Linked DNA regions of Notamacropus eugenii. The protein of the gene in region 2 binds, or shares a complex with, the protein of the main gene of each other region. Links are inferred from orthologs where the notes say so. Each region holds a gene or a part of one and is shown on either strand. Other genes may lie near its edges.

Region 1 (7,680 bases), on a different chromosome or scaffold from region 2:
GTCCTTGCATCCATCAACCATTTTTCACTGATTTTTCTGATGCATTTACTGAGTCACCTAGGTCTTTTGTGCCATGTACATAGTCATAGATTGTTATGTAAGTACCAGCTTCTGAGAACAGTGTGTCTGGTCTACCTGCTCTTATTCTTCAGATTTTTTTTGGCTTCTACTACTTCTGCTTGTGAGTCTTCATTAAAGTTAGGTGTTATTCTTAGTGCCTTGCCTAGTTTTCTGTTATATTGAATGTTTCTTCTTAGACTGACTGCATCTGCTTTGAATTTCTACTGTACTGAATACCAACTATCTTCTGTTCTTACCATTTCTATTGGTATGCTGTTTTCAAATGTGAGAAACATGTTTCCATAATGAGGAATCTCCATTTTTCCTGTAAAGCCTGTTGTGGCAGTTGCGTTATAAAAGTCATTAAATCTGTTAAAGAAGTAGCCAAATTGTTCTAACTGGTTCGTTTGCCAAGGTTTGTAACCTAATGTGCTCAGTAATGTTCCCTCACAAGACAAAGTAAATATGTTATTGGAATCCTCTGCAATTAGCATGGTTGCTGTGAGGTCATTGGTGTACTGAGTTTGTGGTGGAGTTGTTGTTATTTCTATGACTGTCTTTATGCTAGTGTTGAATATTTCTTGTTTTAGGTCAATTAATTCTATGGTTTTGCATATCCAAGCCATGTGTGCAAAGTCTGCTGGACTCATCCATACTCCCCATGCATTTGTATCTAACAGGAACCACCATGCTAGTATTTGTGCATGTTGGTAGTCAATCCAACCATCATAGGCAGTTTGTCCTGCAACTGTTTTAGGTTTTGAGATCTGTAGTATGTATTCTTGATTTTCTGCCTCTTTTAGGATGATATGTCTAGATGCACTGCATGTTATTTGTAACCCATTCCCCTTCAAATTTCCATTCAGTTGTGTTATTATAATTTCCTGTGGACCTCCCAACCCATCCCCCCATCTCCTCCCATGGTTCTTTTGCCTGGTTCTTCTGTTAACATGGATGAGTCCACTTCTGATGAGTCTTGTGAGTCACTCATATTTTCTTTTGCTGACCAACTAAATACTCTTCTTTTTTTGGCTAAGTTTATGAAAACATGTTTTGGAATTGGTCTTTTTTTACTTACAGTTAGTTGGTTTTTTGCTTTTTGTTTGGTGGTGCCAGTTCTGGTGCTATTGCCTTCTTCAATTTAAATGCCTTGTTTGCAATCTAGCCTCCCCAGTCTTTTGTGTGTTCTGTCTGCTAGATAAATTTAGCATCAGCTTTGCTGAAGTAGAAGGAAGGGTTATTGCCCAATTGTTGCATAAGATGATAGTGCTCATCATGTTCCTTGGTAGCTTGAACACTTGGATTGGTTGGTTGTTCCTGGTCAAGAGTATTCCAGGTTCAACGTATTTGTACCCTGGCAGGGTATATCCTGTAAGTCAGAGTTACATATTAGTTGATGGTTGATGCTCTTGGCAAGTAGCATGATATGAGTTCTTTGACTTACCTTGTCTTGGTCAGTTGATGTTTGGCATTTACATATTGTCCTGTTCCATTTCTGATGTAAGCCACTAGTAATCAAGGTCCCAGATGAAAGGTTGTCTCCCCTGAGAAGGTAATTTCTCCTTGTTCTTGACCTTGATCACTTGATATATTGGTTGATGAGCTGGCATCTGATTTTTCAGTATGTTGTGCAGTGGAATTAGAGGCTGATTTGACTCTTTTCTGCCAATGCCTGTTCAAGAATTCCCAGCCGATGAGCCTAGTTTCTGTGGAGTCTTCTGCTTTGTTGTCTGTTTTTATATCTTCTTCTGACTCCTCTCAGTTTCTGTTCACATAGGCACATCATTCCAGTGATCTATGTATGACCTTATAGTTGGATAGAAGCCCTCATCTTTAAGAGTTTTGAATATATTTGCAATTTCCTTTGAATCAATTATACAAAACCTACCATCCAGAGTTTTGGTTAGCTTTCTGTCAACACATATGTGTTTTATTGGCTCTGAGTGCTCAGGTCTAATTTCACATTCAATTCTGACACAAGTAATATCTTCATTTGATGTCATTATGACTGGATCTAGTTCAATTGATTTACTACCTTTTCCTTTCTGATCTAGTCTTATGCTCTGTCCTGCCATTATGGCTTTAAATTGGTTTACTTCTTGTCCCAGGTTACCAACTTCTTCTATCCAAATTATGTTTTTGTTGTAGTAGTCACTGAAAGGAAAGTTAACATTGGATGGATTGTAGCATCCAACACTATCAACTAGCTCAGTATTTTTTGTGCAATGAGACTCTTTCCTGTGCTTGCTGGACCTTGAAGTAGAATGGTATTTCTTTTGCCTCGCTGCTTATTTAATGCACGTATTATAGCACGTGTGACTTCCTTGGGGTTCTAATTAGTCTGAATATCTTGAATAGTTTTGTGTTTTCTAAGTCTCTGATTGTCTTTCCCTTTTCTATGATTAGGTCATATGCTGTCATGTATTTATTCATTCTTAGTAGTACCATTTCCATAACTGTCAATAATTATTTCACCTCCTGGATTTGCTATTTGTTCTGTGTAACTCTCTGGCTCATCTATCATTTATCGCTCTACGCTTATAACTCTCCTGTCATATAGACTACATATGGCTGATGTCATTGTCTGTTCTTTTTTAGTTTTTTCTATTTTAATTTTTTTGAGCTATGGTTCTGTAACTTCTGACTTGACTGGTTGACTTTCTTTTTCTAATTCTTTTAACATCATATTTCCTGACTTTCATTATTGTTTCAAGATGAGTATTTTATTTTTGATCCTCATGGTCAGACCCATATTTTGGCAATATCAATTTAGCAGTTGTATGGAGAAAGGAATGATGTGGAGGGGAAAGATCCGAAGCAAGGATGTCAATTAAGGAGCTTATTATATTAGTGGAGACTAGAAGTGATGAAGACCTGAACCAGGATAGGGGAGAAAAGGGACGTTATCTTTTATCCCTAACTGCATGATACAGCTGAGTTTTCTTGGCAAAGGTCCTGGAGTGATTTACCATTTCCTTCTTTAGCTTATTTTACAGATGAAGAAACTGAGGAAACAAGGTTAAGTGACTTGCCCAGGGTCACACAGCTAGTAAGTGCCCATGAGGCCAGATTTAAACGAAGGAAGATGATGAATCTTCCTGATTCCAAGACCAATGCTCTTTCCAAATTCAAATCCTAAATCCAACCCAACTGTAATCTTACCCCTCCCCCCAAAAGATCATTGGATTTGAAGCTGGGGGGCCTGCGTGCAGCCCCTGACAGGTCACTTGGGCTCTCTGGACCTTAGTTTACCCTTCCACATAGTGGGGGGCTGAAATGCTGGGAAACGACCTTCTCCGCCTCCTAAAAGTCTCTCCCGACCCTCCTTCATCTTTGGTCCCGCGGTCCTCAGGTTACTCCCAGACATTCTCATCGCTCCACACCCCGATCGTGGCGACGACCTCCAAGGGAGCCTCTCAGCAGACAGACGCGGGTCTGGAGCCCGGGGCGGGCTGACCGCCGCAGGAATAACTGAGGCCCGACTCCCCGCCCCCCGCACGCCTCCCCGCTCCTGCTCGCCGCCCCTCGGCCCGCAGGAACCCTGCCCTCGCTCTGGCCGGGGCCAAGCTCGCCTCCAGATGCCCGCCGTCTGGTCCCCCGGGGCGTGGGGACAGCAGGTGGCACAGTGACCACCGGCCCCACGCTGCCCCCTTTCCTTCCCTCGGCTCTGCCGGCCTCCTTCTCCCGCCTCGTCCCTTCCTCCGCCCAACACCCCGAATTTCCCCTCCTCCACTTTACGCAAAAACCCCAAACCCAGAGGCAGCCATCCCACCCCTGAGCCCGCGACCCCCACGAGAGGCCGAGGGAAGGAGCCGGGCGAGTCCAAGCTGAGTGGGCACGAGGTGGCGGCGCGTGTCTGGGTCTGCGCTGGAGCTGCCCAGGTTCGCGCCCGCGAGGGCTCCATCGCCCCGGGCCAGGCGGGCGCAGCACACGCACGGCCCCGCATCGGCGCCCGGCCCAGCTCCCGCCGCGCGCCCTCCCGGGCCTCTCCGGGCCGCCCCGCTCGACCCTCCCCGCGCCCCCCCGCCCCGCGGCAGTGGTAGCGCCCGAACGCCCCGCGTCACCCATTGTTTACAAATCGAACTGAACCGGCTGAGCTCCAGTTCCCGGAGCGGCGGCGGCGGCGGCGGCGGCTGCAGCGCTCGGGGCCCCGCACGCGGCCGGCTCGGGGCGAGAGCGCGGCGCCTGGTCTTCGGGAGCCGTCCCCGGGGCCGGGCCGGGAGCGGGGAGCGAGGAGCGGCCCCAGCGGCGGCGGCGGAGCTGCGGAGCCCGGGCTGCGGAGCGAGGCCATGCCGTGCCGGAGGGAGGAGGAGGACGAGGACGACGAGGCGGCGGCGGCCGGAGAGGAGGAGGAGGAGGAGGACGCCGCGGGGGAGGGGGAGGAGGAGGAGAGCTTCCTGGTGCTGCGGCAGTCGGTGACCGTCGGGGGCTCGGGGGACGTGGACCGGCTGGTGGCCCAGATCGGAGAGGCGCTGCAGCTGGACGCGGCGCACGGGAGCCGGGCCGCCCCCCGGGGGCCGCCGGTCCTGCAGCTGCTGCTGCCTCCGGGGCCGGCCCCGGCGCCCCCGCAGCCTCCGGGGCCGCCGCAGTGCGCGGGCAGCGGGGCCCGCGCCGCCCTGTGCTGGGCGAGCGAGGGGGGCGCCGCGTCGCAGCCCCCGGCGCGGGCGCCGCCGGGCCCCTGCGTGGCGGGGGGGGCCCCGGGCCGGAGCGGCGCCTGTGGCCCGCACGTCTGCAAGCGGGGCTTCCCGCAGCCGCTGCCGGGCCCGTGCCGACGCGCCTGGCTTCGGGGCGCCGCCGCCTCCCGGCGCCTGCAGCAGCAGCAGCCCCAGCACCGGTCCCGAGGGCCGCCGGGCCTCCGTGCGGGAGACGACGACCCCCACCAGCTTCTGCAGCAGCTTGTCCTCTCGGGGAACCTCATCAAGGAGGCCGTGCGGCGACTGCATTCCCGGCGCCCTAGGCAGCACCCTGGGGCTAGGGCCCCCTTGCCCCCAGCGCCCGGCCCCGCTCCACCGTGGCCCCTGGCTGTTCGGGAGGCTGAGGCAGAAGGGACTCTAGCTCACTGTAGTCCTCGGCGACCAGCCTGCTCCAACCCCGAGGGCCTCCGGAGCCAGCTGGTGCCCAGACGTGCAGATGGCATCTTGGTCCCCAGCAGCTAGTGAGCCCAGCGCGTTCAAGGGCAAGAAGAAGGCAGGGGAAGAACCCGAAAGCCTAAGGCCTGGAGACTTGACATGAATGAACTTGGAGTGGGGAACGGGGGTTCGAAGGCAAAGGGGAAAGATGGGGGAACTTTTTTCGAGGTTCTGGAGTGGGGAAGGGTGATGTAGAGGCTGTGGACTTGGGTGGTTTGTGGGGGGTTGGGCCGAGAATTAGAACCCCTGATCTAATTAGGATGAATAGATCCTGTGTATTGACAGACTGCACTACTGACCTAAGAGCGTCAGTAGAAGATCCTCTTTTTCACTTGTCATGAGTGGTGCTGACTTGCACTGAGCCATCCACAGCACCTTAGCCTGGTTGCCATGTGACCAACAGCACACCTTTTTCAGGATTCCTTAACTGGCCACCTCTACGGGTGCCTTTGGAACAGAGTTGTTGTTTTTTCCTCTGTGCAATATTAACTGGCCTTTTAATAGGAGTTGCACCTTCCATCTTGGCCTCCTTCGCACATGTTCTATCCTACTGAGCTAACCATGAACTCAGAACAGAGAATTATTCCAGTTACCTGCTTTGACTTGACCCAGTTTGTTTTCACTACTGGTAGTTTTCTTTGACTCATGTTTTTTGCGGGGGGAGGGGAGAGGGTGGAGTGGGAATGGAGAGAAGGATTTGAGAGCAGGGAGAAGAAATGCAGTGACTTCACCTGACTGAAAACTTGATAGCATTTTCCAGACTAGATTTAGTTCTGAGTTGTGGGTTCCTACTGCTAGAACACAATCAACTTCATTAAATGTGAGAAGAAGGAACTTGAGTAAAGCTTGGGTGGGGTGGCTTAAAGTGATTACCTGCCAACCTCCTACTTCTACCCTTACATTGCAACAGCCTGATGTTTCTAAGGCTTAACTGAGGAATACTCCCACCAGGTCATGGTAGGGAATGAGAAGGGGAAGGATTTGTTCCTGGGGAAGGAAGAATTCTTGGCTCCACAGTCTGCCTGTCTAGAGGGGCTTTCGAAAATTGGTCCTTGCAGGATTCTGGTTTTCCACACATGGTGCTGTGTCTTTCTGGGCAAGGGAGTAACTGTATATTCAGCACCTTCTCCAAGGGAGTCCTGTGTTTTGAAACTGTTAAGAGTCTCCTGGGGACATACACTTTGTTCTACTGGTTGGGAGGGAAAACTGTGTGCATGTGTGTGTAAACATGTGCACATGTCCACAGGCTTGTGTGTTGACCCTTCTTGGGCCTTTTTTGACCAGGGAGGAAGATGCCTTAGTACCTGTCATAATACTGCAGGTCACTAAGGTTTCCTTTCTTTCCAGGATGTTCTTCCTTTCTTGTTTATACTTTAGCAGGTTCTGAGTAGGGGTCCCGGCATCAAGGGAAAGAGGCCCATTTAAATGTGTTTGTCTCTGAGGCTTTTTGTGGTATCTCCTGCAACATCTCTGAATGAAAGGGGATTTGTTTTCTCCTCTCTCCATCTCATCCCTCACTTTTTTGAGTGAATTCAGTATTCTGAAAATGTTGCCCTCTATGTAGAAGATCGGCAAACATTTTCCTTTACAGTGGCTCCAATCTTTGTTGTTATTTGAAATTTCAATGGCTTGGTCATCATCCAGATGTGGCTGTTGATGTATGTGGATGTGTGCCTGTACATATCCTCACACACATACACTTCGCAGCGGAGTGTCTGAAATTGTGGTGGTCCTGATTTACAGGATTCTAACTTTACTGAAGTATCTATGTTAAATAAAGTTGGTTTTTTTATTTTCTGTCTTCCTTTGTGCCAAAGGCAGCCTAACCAGCAGATTTCCATGGGGATGAAAACACGTCAGCATGGATTATGTGTGACAGCCTGTGTTCCTCAGCATTCTGTAAAAGGATGGGATAAATGCATCCTGTAACTACTTTTAGGGCTAGCTCAATATTAAGATCAAATCCTAGGAACTCCCTACCCCCATTTATTAAAACAACACACAGTAATAAGAGACTGAAATATCATTCAAATCCGCTTCAACCATGCACTTTAAGTACACTGGTAATAGACATCTGACACTTTTGGAGACAGGTTTTGTTCCCCCACCCAAGAGGCAGAGGTGGTGAGGGTTTTCCTCCCCCCCTCCCCCCACCTTTCTGGTTATTAACATCCTCCAATATGTCTTTTCATTCTAACCATTAACCTGGGACAGATATGGTTAATGTGTGGGTGCCAGGCTCAGATTGAGTAAGCCATTTTGAAATACGTTAAAGGACACATTAATCTCATTTCTCATATTCTTGGCCCCAAACACCAAAGCACAGGTACTCTGTCAAGCTTATGTTCTGAAGCACTCTGTGCCATTTTAAAAGTAGGCACCTTCAGAGGCATCTGCTGGGGAATTGAAGTTTTGGCCACCTAGTGTGGGCAGCCAGGAAACATAGTCCTAACACCACCAAATTTAAATTACAGTATTTTGATCTGTTCCT
Region 2 (7,633 bases):
AATCTTGAGCAAGTTCTATTCTAAGTTCCAAAAAGGTGTGAAAGTCATAAAATGGCTTAGAAATTTAGATGTCACTGCTAGTTAACAGCTACCTACTGAAACCTGGAGAAAAACTCAACCTGTCAGCTTCTTTCAGACAGCACTTCTTTCCCACTATCATAAATGTTATCACTTCTAAGTCTTTCATGCTCAGTTACTTTCACCGTCAAACATCTCTCTCTCATACACACACACACTCTCATGCAGGATCCTGACAGCTTGCCAGTTTCTTCATTTTGTTCTTTGCTTTCCATTTCTATAGCCACCATAACCAACTTCTCACTTCAGCTGACTTCAAGTAGCCCCCTAACTCTGTCTCACTCTACTCCAATCCATTCTAAAGATAAATGTCATATTTAGCTTCTTCAAACATCATGTTCCCCATTCTACATGTCAATTCAATAAAATCCACAGAAGCTACCTTTTACTTATCAAAAAAAAATAGAGATAAATTTGAATTTGTCAACTGCCTTCCCTGTGGCTTTCCTCCTTCATCTCTTTTTAGCCAATGTCTCTGATGCCTACTAAGTCACATACTAACTCCTTCCTTTGTGGTTTAATCACTCTAATTCTCCCAACTAGAATACATTCTTTCTTTCCATACAGCAATAATAACTGCAAACATTTCTATGTAATTTCATTTATACAAAGCTTTTTTTCCTTGAAACAACCCTATGAAGTAGTATCAGTACTATTACTCTTATTTTAGATATTAAGTAATTTGACAGTCAGCTACATATGGCTCACCCCAATCTACTACTCTGCCTCCATCAAATTCTGACTTGAAATTTACCTTCTTCAAGCAGTTTTCCCGGATTAACTCTTCCTTTGATCATTCTTTAATGTTAAGTCCCCTTGGCACCCAAGCATTCAATTTGATTATATCACCCACACCATTTTAATAGATGATTTTATGTTTGTTTCCCCAGAAAAATGGTCTCAAGTAGCCCTATTTGTGCAGGACTCTCCATAGCAAATACTGATTAAATGTTAAATTATCCTTATTTCCTCAAAAATATCCCTAAATTCAAAGTCAGAGGCATGATTATATTTGACATTAAATTTCCACTTATTATGGCAATCTATGCCCATAAAAGATGAGTTTACAGATTCAATTTAATATACTATATTATTTATTAAAATAATACTAATTTACCAGTCAAAATTTAAACACATCATTCAGCAATGCTGCTCTCATCAGATACGTCAAATATAGCCACTTTAAAAGCAAATAAATTCTTCCAACAAAAAAAGTTTGAAGACAGGTAAAATTGCTTTGCTTTCTTAGCTGTAACTAATGAATGTTAATGGGTCTCAAAGAACTATTACTCCAGATTTCTATTATGAAAAAGACACATTCCAATAACTCAGGAGAGATTCCTACACTATTTTAAGACTTGCTTCATCACAGCTGAAGATTACAGCAGAATTTTAAATATTCATCTCATCTCACCCTTAATGTACTTATGATGGTTTGCCCTTCCACAGAGTAATGCATAGTTTGCTTCTCTCCCCATCCCTAGAATTTTAGTTGGCTAAAGACCAAAAAAACAAAAGCCTGATTATACTTTCCAAAATAAAAAAACTGCCAGTCACTACCTTTAACTTCACTATTTAATATCAACATTGATGCAGGCATACATCAAATAGAAGTTCAAAGTCAAGATGGTCCAGTATAGCCCTGAACACTGATATCAGTGTAAGGGCTGAATACCATTTGGTAAAGATAAGTAATTTAACCAATTTTTCAGAAAAGTAACCTGTATTGAGATTTCTTTTCTTTCTAACCAGGAAGTCTTTGACTCAAGAACAAAAAAGAAATTCTATGGAACCTTACTTCATCTCTCTCTTGCTGCATCTCACTTCAGGAATAAAGAGATTACAATTGGTCAAACTCTAGAAGTGCATTTCAATAAGATAAAAAACATTTTAAACATTAAATATTATAAACACTGTTCCAAGCTCACACATTTTCAAAAAGCACAAATGAAGATGAACTGAAATTGTTGGACATATGGCAATAACAGTAATAAACTATTAATTTTTGGTGTAAAGAAATAGATTAAAAAAGACAGTTTGACAACAAATTGCGTACATTCTTAACGTATTCATCTCTACTCCAGAAGCTATGAAAGAAAGGACTTATTTACTCAGTTGTCTGATCTTTTCAAAGCTCCAGATGAATTGAAAAAAAAATTTCAGAGAAAAATACAGTTTCTGAAAATATGAGTTAATTCAGAGTAAACTGGTGCATCTGTCAATCCAAGAGTGACATCAACATTTGTAAATGTATAAAATAAAATTGCTAAAGCTTTTTTCAGGTACAAAAAGAAATCACAATACAGACATTTTAAATAGTCCTTTAAATTACACTTTAATTTAGGACTTTAATAAAGCCATTTACAACAGTACCCCTCCAAATGAATAAAAATGATAGTTTTAATTGGCAACAACTGAAGTGTAACTGTTAGCATGCTGAAATTGACATTAAAATTCTAAATCACAAAAGTCAAACTGAAACGTGAAACTTTTTAATTAAAACACAGATCTCAATAACTCCTCATTAAATTTCTAACGTCACAGCCAAAAGATATAGGATGACATATTAAAACCAATTAGTCAACTTACAACATATGCAGCACTGCTGCTGTATAGTGTGGTGCCACAAGCCCATTATTTTTAAGGCAGAAATGAATAACCTCCAAATTTAAAACCTCATCATGGCACAAGCTGACCCTTCCGAGTACCAGCTATTATTTTACATATCCAAAAAATAAATGTTAAATATTTGTCTTTATTAAAAGCATAAAACCAAGATAACCATACTTAGGTCTGAGCTTCCTAAACATCTCTTCTCATTCAAAAAAAGACATCCACGCTTCAACTTTTATATTGCCTTGTTTTAAGCAATATATCTTTTTCTGTTTTTCCTTACTTAAAAAGATGATTGATTACTTAGCTCTCTAATTTCCTATAGATTCTTTAAGCAGTTGCTTAGGAAGACCATTCGTAAATATATTCGAAGTCATGCTAGATAGGGGGGAAAAACAAACTTGCAAACTAAAACATCCAAATAAAAATCACATTCTGTCAATTCAAGGTTAATGAGACGATGGGGGGAAGGTATGGAAGCAGACAGGGAGGTGCTTCACCTTTGAATAGTGACTACTTTCACCTTTTTCCATTACACAGGCCGTTGAATTTTTTTGGTTTCTAATCTATATTTTTTTAATCCTGGCATTTCCAGGTCTTTATTTTAAAGGGAAGGGGTAAAGGGGTAAAAAAAAAAAAAAATCAATACTCACTGCTAACTTTCATGCTGCCAAAAGCTGAAGGCTGCTGCACTGGTTTGCAGCTCTCTGCAAAGGAGGTGGTTCTGGGCCGCCCTGACATGATCTCTCTTCTCCCGATCACCTTCTTCCTCCTTTTCTTCCTTTTGTTTTATTTTGGGGTGTAAGTTAATGACAAATGCAGCATTAAGCTCACACACACAAACCAAAAAAAAAAAAAATGTTTTCTTCTTCTTGGCTTTCACTTCTTTTACGTAGCTATATAAAACCAAACGATCGATTTGTATCCTCCTCCAAGACAGATGAGATATGGATTTTTGTATCTAGATGATTTGGGGCTGGGGAAAAAAACACAATTCTTCTCCCCCCTCACCTTCGGAGGGGGAAGGGAGAAAAACCTGAAAAATATCTGTTAAAATGGAGGGGGGAGGGAAGAGGAGGGGAGAAATTACTTGATTGGAATTTCAGTACTTTGAATATTATTTTTTTTCCTCCTCGGGGATCTTTTTTTTTTGAGTCAATGAAGAAGGGAAGCGGCGGAGGGATCACGAGTCTCTTGCTTGAAGAGAAAGGGGGATGGGAAGGGGGAAGGAAGGAGGGAGGCAGGGAGGGTGGCTCGGTGATGCGACTGGAAATGCTGCGGATCCGGCGGCGGGATCCGGCCGACGGGCGGAGGGAGCGCTCGGTCGGCGCGGCCGAGCGCGGCACGGCACGGCCCGGCCCGGAGAGCTCGAAGGCGGCGGATCTGGGGAGTCGGTCAGAGGCGGCGGGGGGCGGCGGCGGCAGCTCCTCTCCTCATTGCGCCAGGGGCAGCTGCAGGCGGTGGCTGGATCCAGCGGCCATGGCGGCGGCGGCAGCTCCCTTCAGACCCCAAGCAGCGGCTCCTGTGCTGCTCCCCATACGCCGGGGACATGGGAACCCGGCAACCGCTTCCGTCCCTTGAGGGCCCCCTCCCCCGGCCAAGGCACCGTCGCTGCCCTCCCGCCCCCTAGGTCCGCTCGCTGCCCACTCGGGAAATGTCCGCGCTTTGGCCCCAGCCCGGCGCCCTGACAGCGGCTTAGGGGGGCCCCCGGCTCCTCCTTGCTTCCTTCCTTCCTTCCTTCCTTTGTCACTCGGTCCGGGCAGCAGCGGCTCCTGCCCGCATTCACCAGGGTCGGGGGCTGCTCTGTATGAGAAGCACCTACTGCGCAGCCGCCTAGCTCCCCCTCCCCTCGCCTGCTCCTCCTCCTCCCCCCTCTCACCTCCGCCTCCTCCGCCTCCTCCGCCTTCCTCCTCCCTAGCCCAGCCCAGTCCAACACTACCCAGAGCCCCCACCGCCCGCGTAACAGGCGTCTGGGAATCGCCGGCCGAAGTCTGAGCCTCGCACACCGCCCTCCCGCTTCGGCCGAACGCCAACCTCAGCCAATCAGAGAGCGTCGTCTGTTCGCTGCTCCCTCCGGAAATAGCCGAGGGGCGGCAGGAGCCAATCGGAAGCGGCCGCTGAACAACCCTCCCTTCCCAACCCCCCACGCCCCGAGGCAACGGAAGGAGCCGAAGACTGCCGACGGAGGAAGAGGAGGAGAAGGAGGAGGAAGGAGTTGGAAAGCCAAGCTTCCTGGTTAGGTCACAGGCAATGGCTGAAATTCGTCAAAGGCAGAAAGGGCCAATCAAAGGCTTCCCAGTCGCCTGCTCTCGCTGAAAAGTGCGGAGAGGCCCAGCGTGGTTAAAAGCCCCAGGAAGGTGTGCGACCCTGCGCCTCGGCCGCTTTGTCATTGGTTGAAAAACTCCGCTGGGAGGTTGAACCACATCACTCAGTGATTGGCTGAGGGAAGGGGGCTTCCGAGGACATCCCAGCAAGCCCGAATCGTCCCATGTCTCACCGAGGCGGGGTGGGAAGGAGGGAGGGCAAAGACCTATAATGCTCTTTCTTATTGGACAACGGCCGCTGTGCGCTGGAGAGGGGAGAGGGGAAGGGGAGGGAGGCTGAACTCCTTGAGGTTGGCCAATCCGAACCTGCCTTGGGCCTATCGCAAGACTTTGGCTGAGTCTGATTGGTCCCCTGGCTTGGGCAGAGGGGAATGAGCTAGATTGTGGTCGTGGCGGAACCTCCCCTGGGTGGACGATCGGGGTTGGGTGAATTCTGCCTTGGCTGTTTGAAAGCCGCAGATATTGAGGGGTGGAGCAGACTCACGCATTCGCGACGTAATGGTTGGGACCAGTGGCGCATAGGTCTCAACAGCCTGGGGGCCCAGTTGCCTCTGGGCCTAAATCCTGGATCCCTGCCTGCGCAGGCGCGTGCGTGCGTGTGCGTGTGCGTGCGGGGGAGGGGGAGTGAGAAATTCATGTTCCGTACTTGTAACTCCGAAGGCCCAGAAGTTCTTCGTGCCTGGGCACGGGTGACCCCGCCCTCTCCTGCCGCACAGCTGGGGGCGGCGCTCGGCCTCGCAGCACCCTTACGGCCCGAGGAGCGTAACTCCTTGCCCTGCGCGGCGCGGGGAGCTGTCCTGGACGCTTCGGCCCTCCTCTGCCCCTTTAGTCTTAGGTTCTTGTGGGCGCTGTGCTCGGGCTCAGGGTCTCTGCCCCGGAAAACACCCGGGAGAAATGAGATCACCGCAGCTCGGTGCGCTCCCAGGGTGATCACAAATAGCTGCAGTTCCGTGAGTGGCTCCCAAACACGTGAAGGGGCCGGAGTCGTGCCGGATATCCTTGGGCCCTGGGTGCAGCCGGGATAATTATAGCTGTAGTTGGCTTGGGAGCTTCAGATCAAAGGGTAGTGTGTGAGGGCAGGTTATTTTTGATGGTTTGTTTCTTGCGTGTGGTATGTTGTGATTGTAAGAGGACCAAACCCCTCGCGCCGTAATGGGCACTTTCTCTCCCACTCCAAGCATCTTTTGGCCTGCTCCGACCGTCTGCTTGTTTGTGTGTTAAGCTGACTGGTACGCTGCTGTGTATGTATCGGTGTGGATGGAACTGTGCAGTTTTATACATGTCTGCGTATCTGTAAATTCAACAATTGGGTTCCCCCTAGAGGGCACCTGAAACCCCGGCGGAGAGACCATTGTCTGTGTTACAGGCAGCTGCTCAGATTCCTAGTATTATAACTCAGGTTGTATCATCCTGATATAAAAAGCAGTTCATACAAGAACTGAAGTGCCCCTGCCCTCGTAAGTGCGTATGGAAACGTGCACTTAGAGAGCGTGTGGTTTAATGGGTGTAAGTAGATGGAAAAGTCAGTGGGGAGTCTGGGATGGGTTGGGGAGAAGGAGTGACGGTAATGGGTAGAAGGGGGCTTTTACCTGAGCTGGATGCTTGGCTCACGTATCTCTGAGAGGCTCTTCGGGACTGAGGATTTGTGAGGACGGAGAAACTCTAGGCATGTGAAGGACACACCTCCTGAAACCCAAAAGTGTAACTTCCACAAATGATAGGCTTCAAAGCTCAAAGGGGCCTTTAGGGGAAAGAACGTCAAGCGCCCTCTCCATTCTGCCCCCTACCCCTTAACGTGTAAGAAAAGTCCAGTATACAGCAGGCTAAGAGCCTGGGATCCGAACAGAGGTTCTCAGATTGCAAATTCAGTTTTCTTCCTGAAACCTCGTGTTCTACTTTTCTGTGTAAATTTAACACATTTTGTTAGAAATTAAATACAGATTATCTCCATAATAGATGTTTGAATGTTACCTGAACTTGAATTTGTAACATATTTCCGAGGAGTCTGGTAACCCAAATTTCTCTTCTCCTGATGTACTCCCTCAAAAAAAGAGTGTAGGCAAAGTTGTATGTAATAGTTACAAGGGCTTAATCTGTCTTCAGAATTTCTGATAGAAGAATTTACACAAATAAAACTGTGTTCCATGTTAAACAGCCAAACCTGTCGATTGAGGATTGAAGAAGCGCAGGATCAGCTATGCAGTTAATGAGCAGAATTGGAAGTGCTAAATAGTTGAACCTGAGATTCCAAAGTTATTCAGTGGTTGGTCTCAAATAGAGACACGGAATAGCGGGAGATGTTAGGCTGAGTTTCTAGGAAGGCCTTTCTGTTCCCCACTAAAAGTGGAGATTAGGAAGTGATGCTATTAAAAATGTAGAAAAGCCAAAGAGAGGATTGAGAACACTATAAAAATCTTAAATACGCTGTGCCTTACTTAATTCTCATGTGCGTATATAATCCAAGTCCCAAAGTTCATTGGTATGGGACTCTCTCCTCATTGTCAGAGATCAATGTCCTCCACCACCCCTAAATGCACATTGCATGAAGGGTATGTCAGAGTTGTCCAGAGTTTGAGAGAGGAGAGGGATAGTTCTCTCAAAGTATTATAGGGAAATAG

What was found. The genes of interacting proteins can lie anywhere in the genome.
Region 1: the proteins of GSK3B (region 2) and FRAT1 are in contact, whole or in part, in a crystal structure (PDB 5OY4), measured with the Homo sapiens proteins. The link is inferred for Notamacropus eugenii from reciprocal best matches to the Homo sapiens genes GSK3B and FRAT1. Residues at the interface, in NP_001139628.1 of Homo sapiens: Tyr216, Ile228, Phe229, Ser261, Gly262, Val263, Asp264, Leu266, Val267, Ile270, Lys271, Thr275, Pro276, Ile281, Tyr288, Thr289, Glu290, Phe291, Lys292, Phe293, Pro294, Ile296; in NP_005470.2 of Homo sapiens: His200, Leu202, Leu203, Leu206, Val207, Ser209, Gly210, Asn211, Leu212, Ile213, Lys214, Glu215, Ala216, Val217, Arg219, Leu220, His221.

What each region holds. Positions count from the first base shown.
Region 1 is NC_092872.1:214,099,459-214,107,138, forward strand, and holds FRAT1 (proto-oncogene FRAT1), read left to right. Parts: upstream 1-4,205; 5' UTR 4,206-4,349; coding exon 4,350-5,216; 3' UTR 5,217-6,981; downstream 6,982-7,680. UniProt on the Homo sapiens protein: Positively regulates the Wnt signaling pathway by stabilizing beta-catenin through the association with GSK-3. May play a role in tumor progression and collaborate with PIM1 and MYC in lymphomagenesis.
Region 2 is NC_092876.1:345,958,911-345,966,543, reverse strand, and holds the start of GSK3B (glycogen synthase kinase-3 beta), read right to left. Parts: upstream 3,471-7,633; 5' UTR 3,433-3,470; coding exon 3,345-3,432; intron 1-3,344. UniProt on the Homo sapiens protein: Constitutively active protein kinase that acts as a negative regulator in the hormonal control of glucose homeostasis, Wnt signaling and regulation of transcription factors and microtubules, by phosphorylating and inactivating glycogen synthase (GYS1 or GYS2), EIF2B, CTNNB1/beta-catenin, APC, AXIN1, DPYSL2/CRMP2, JUN, NFATC1/NFATC, MAPT/TAU and MACF1.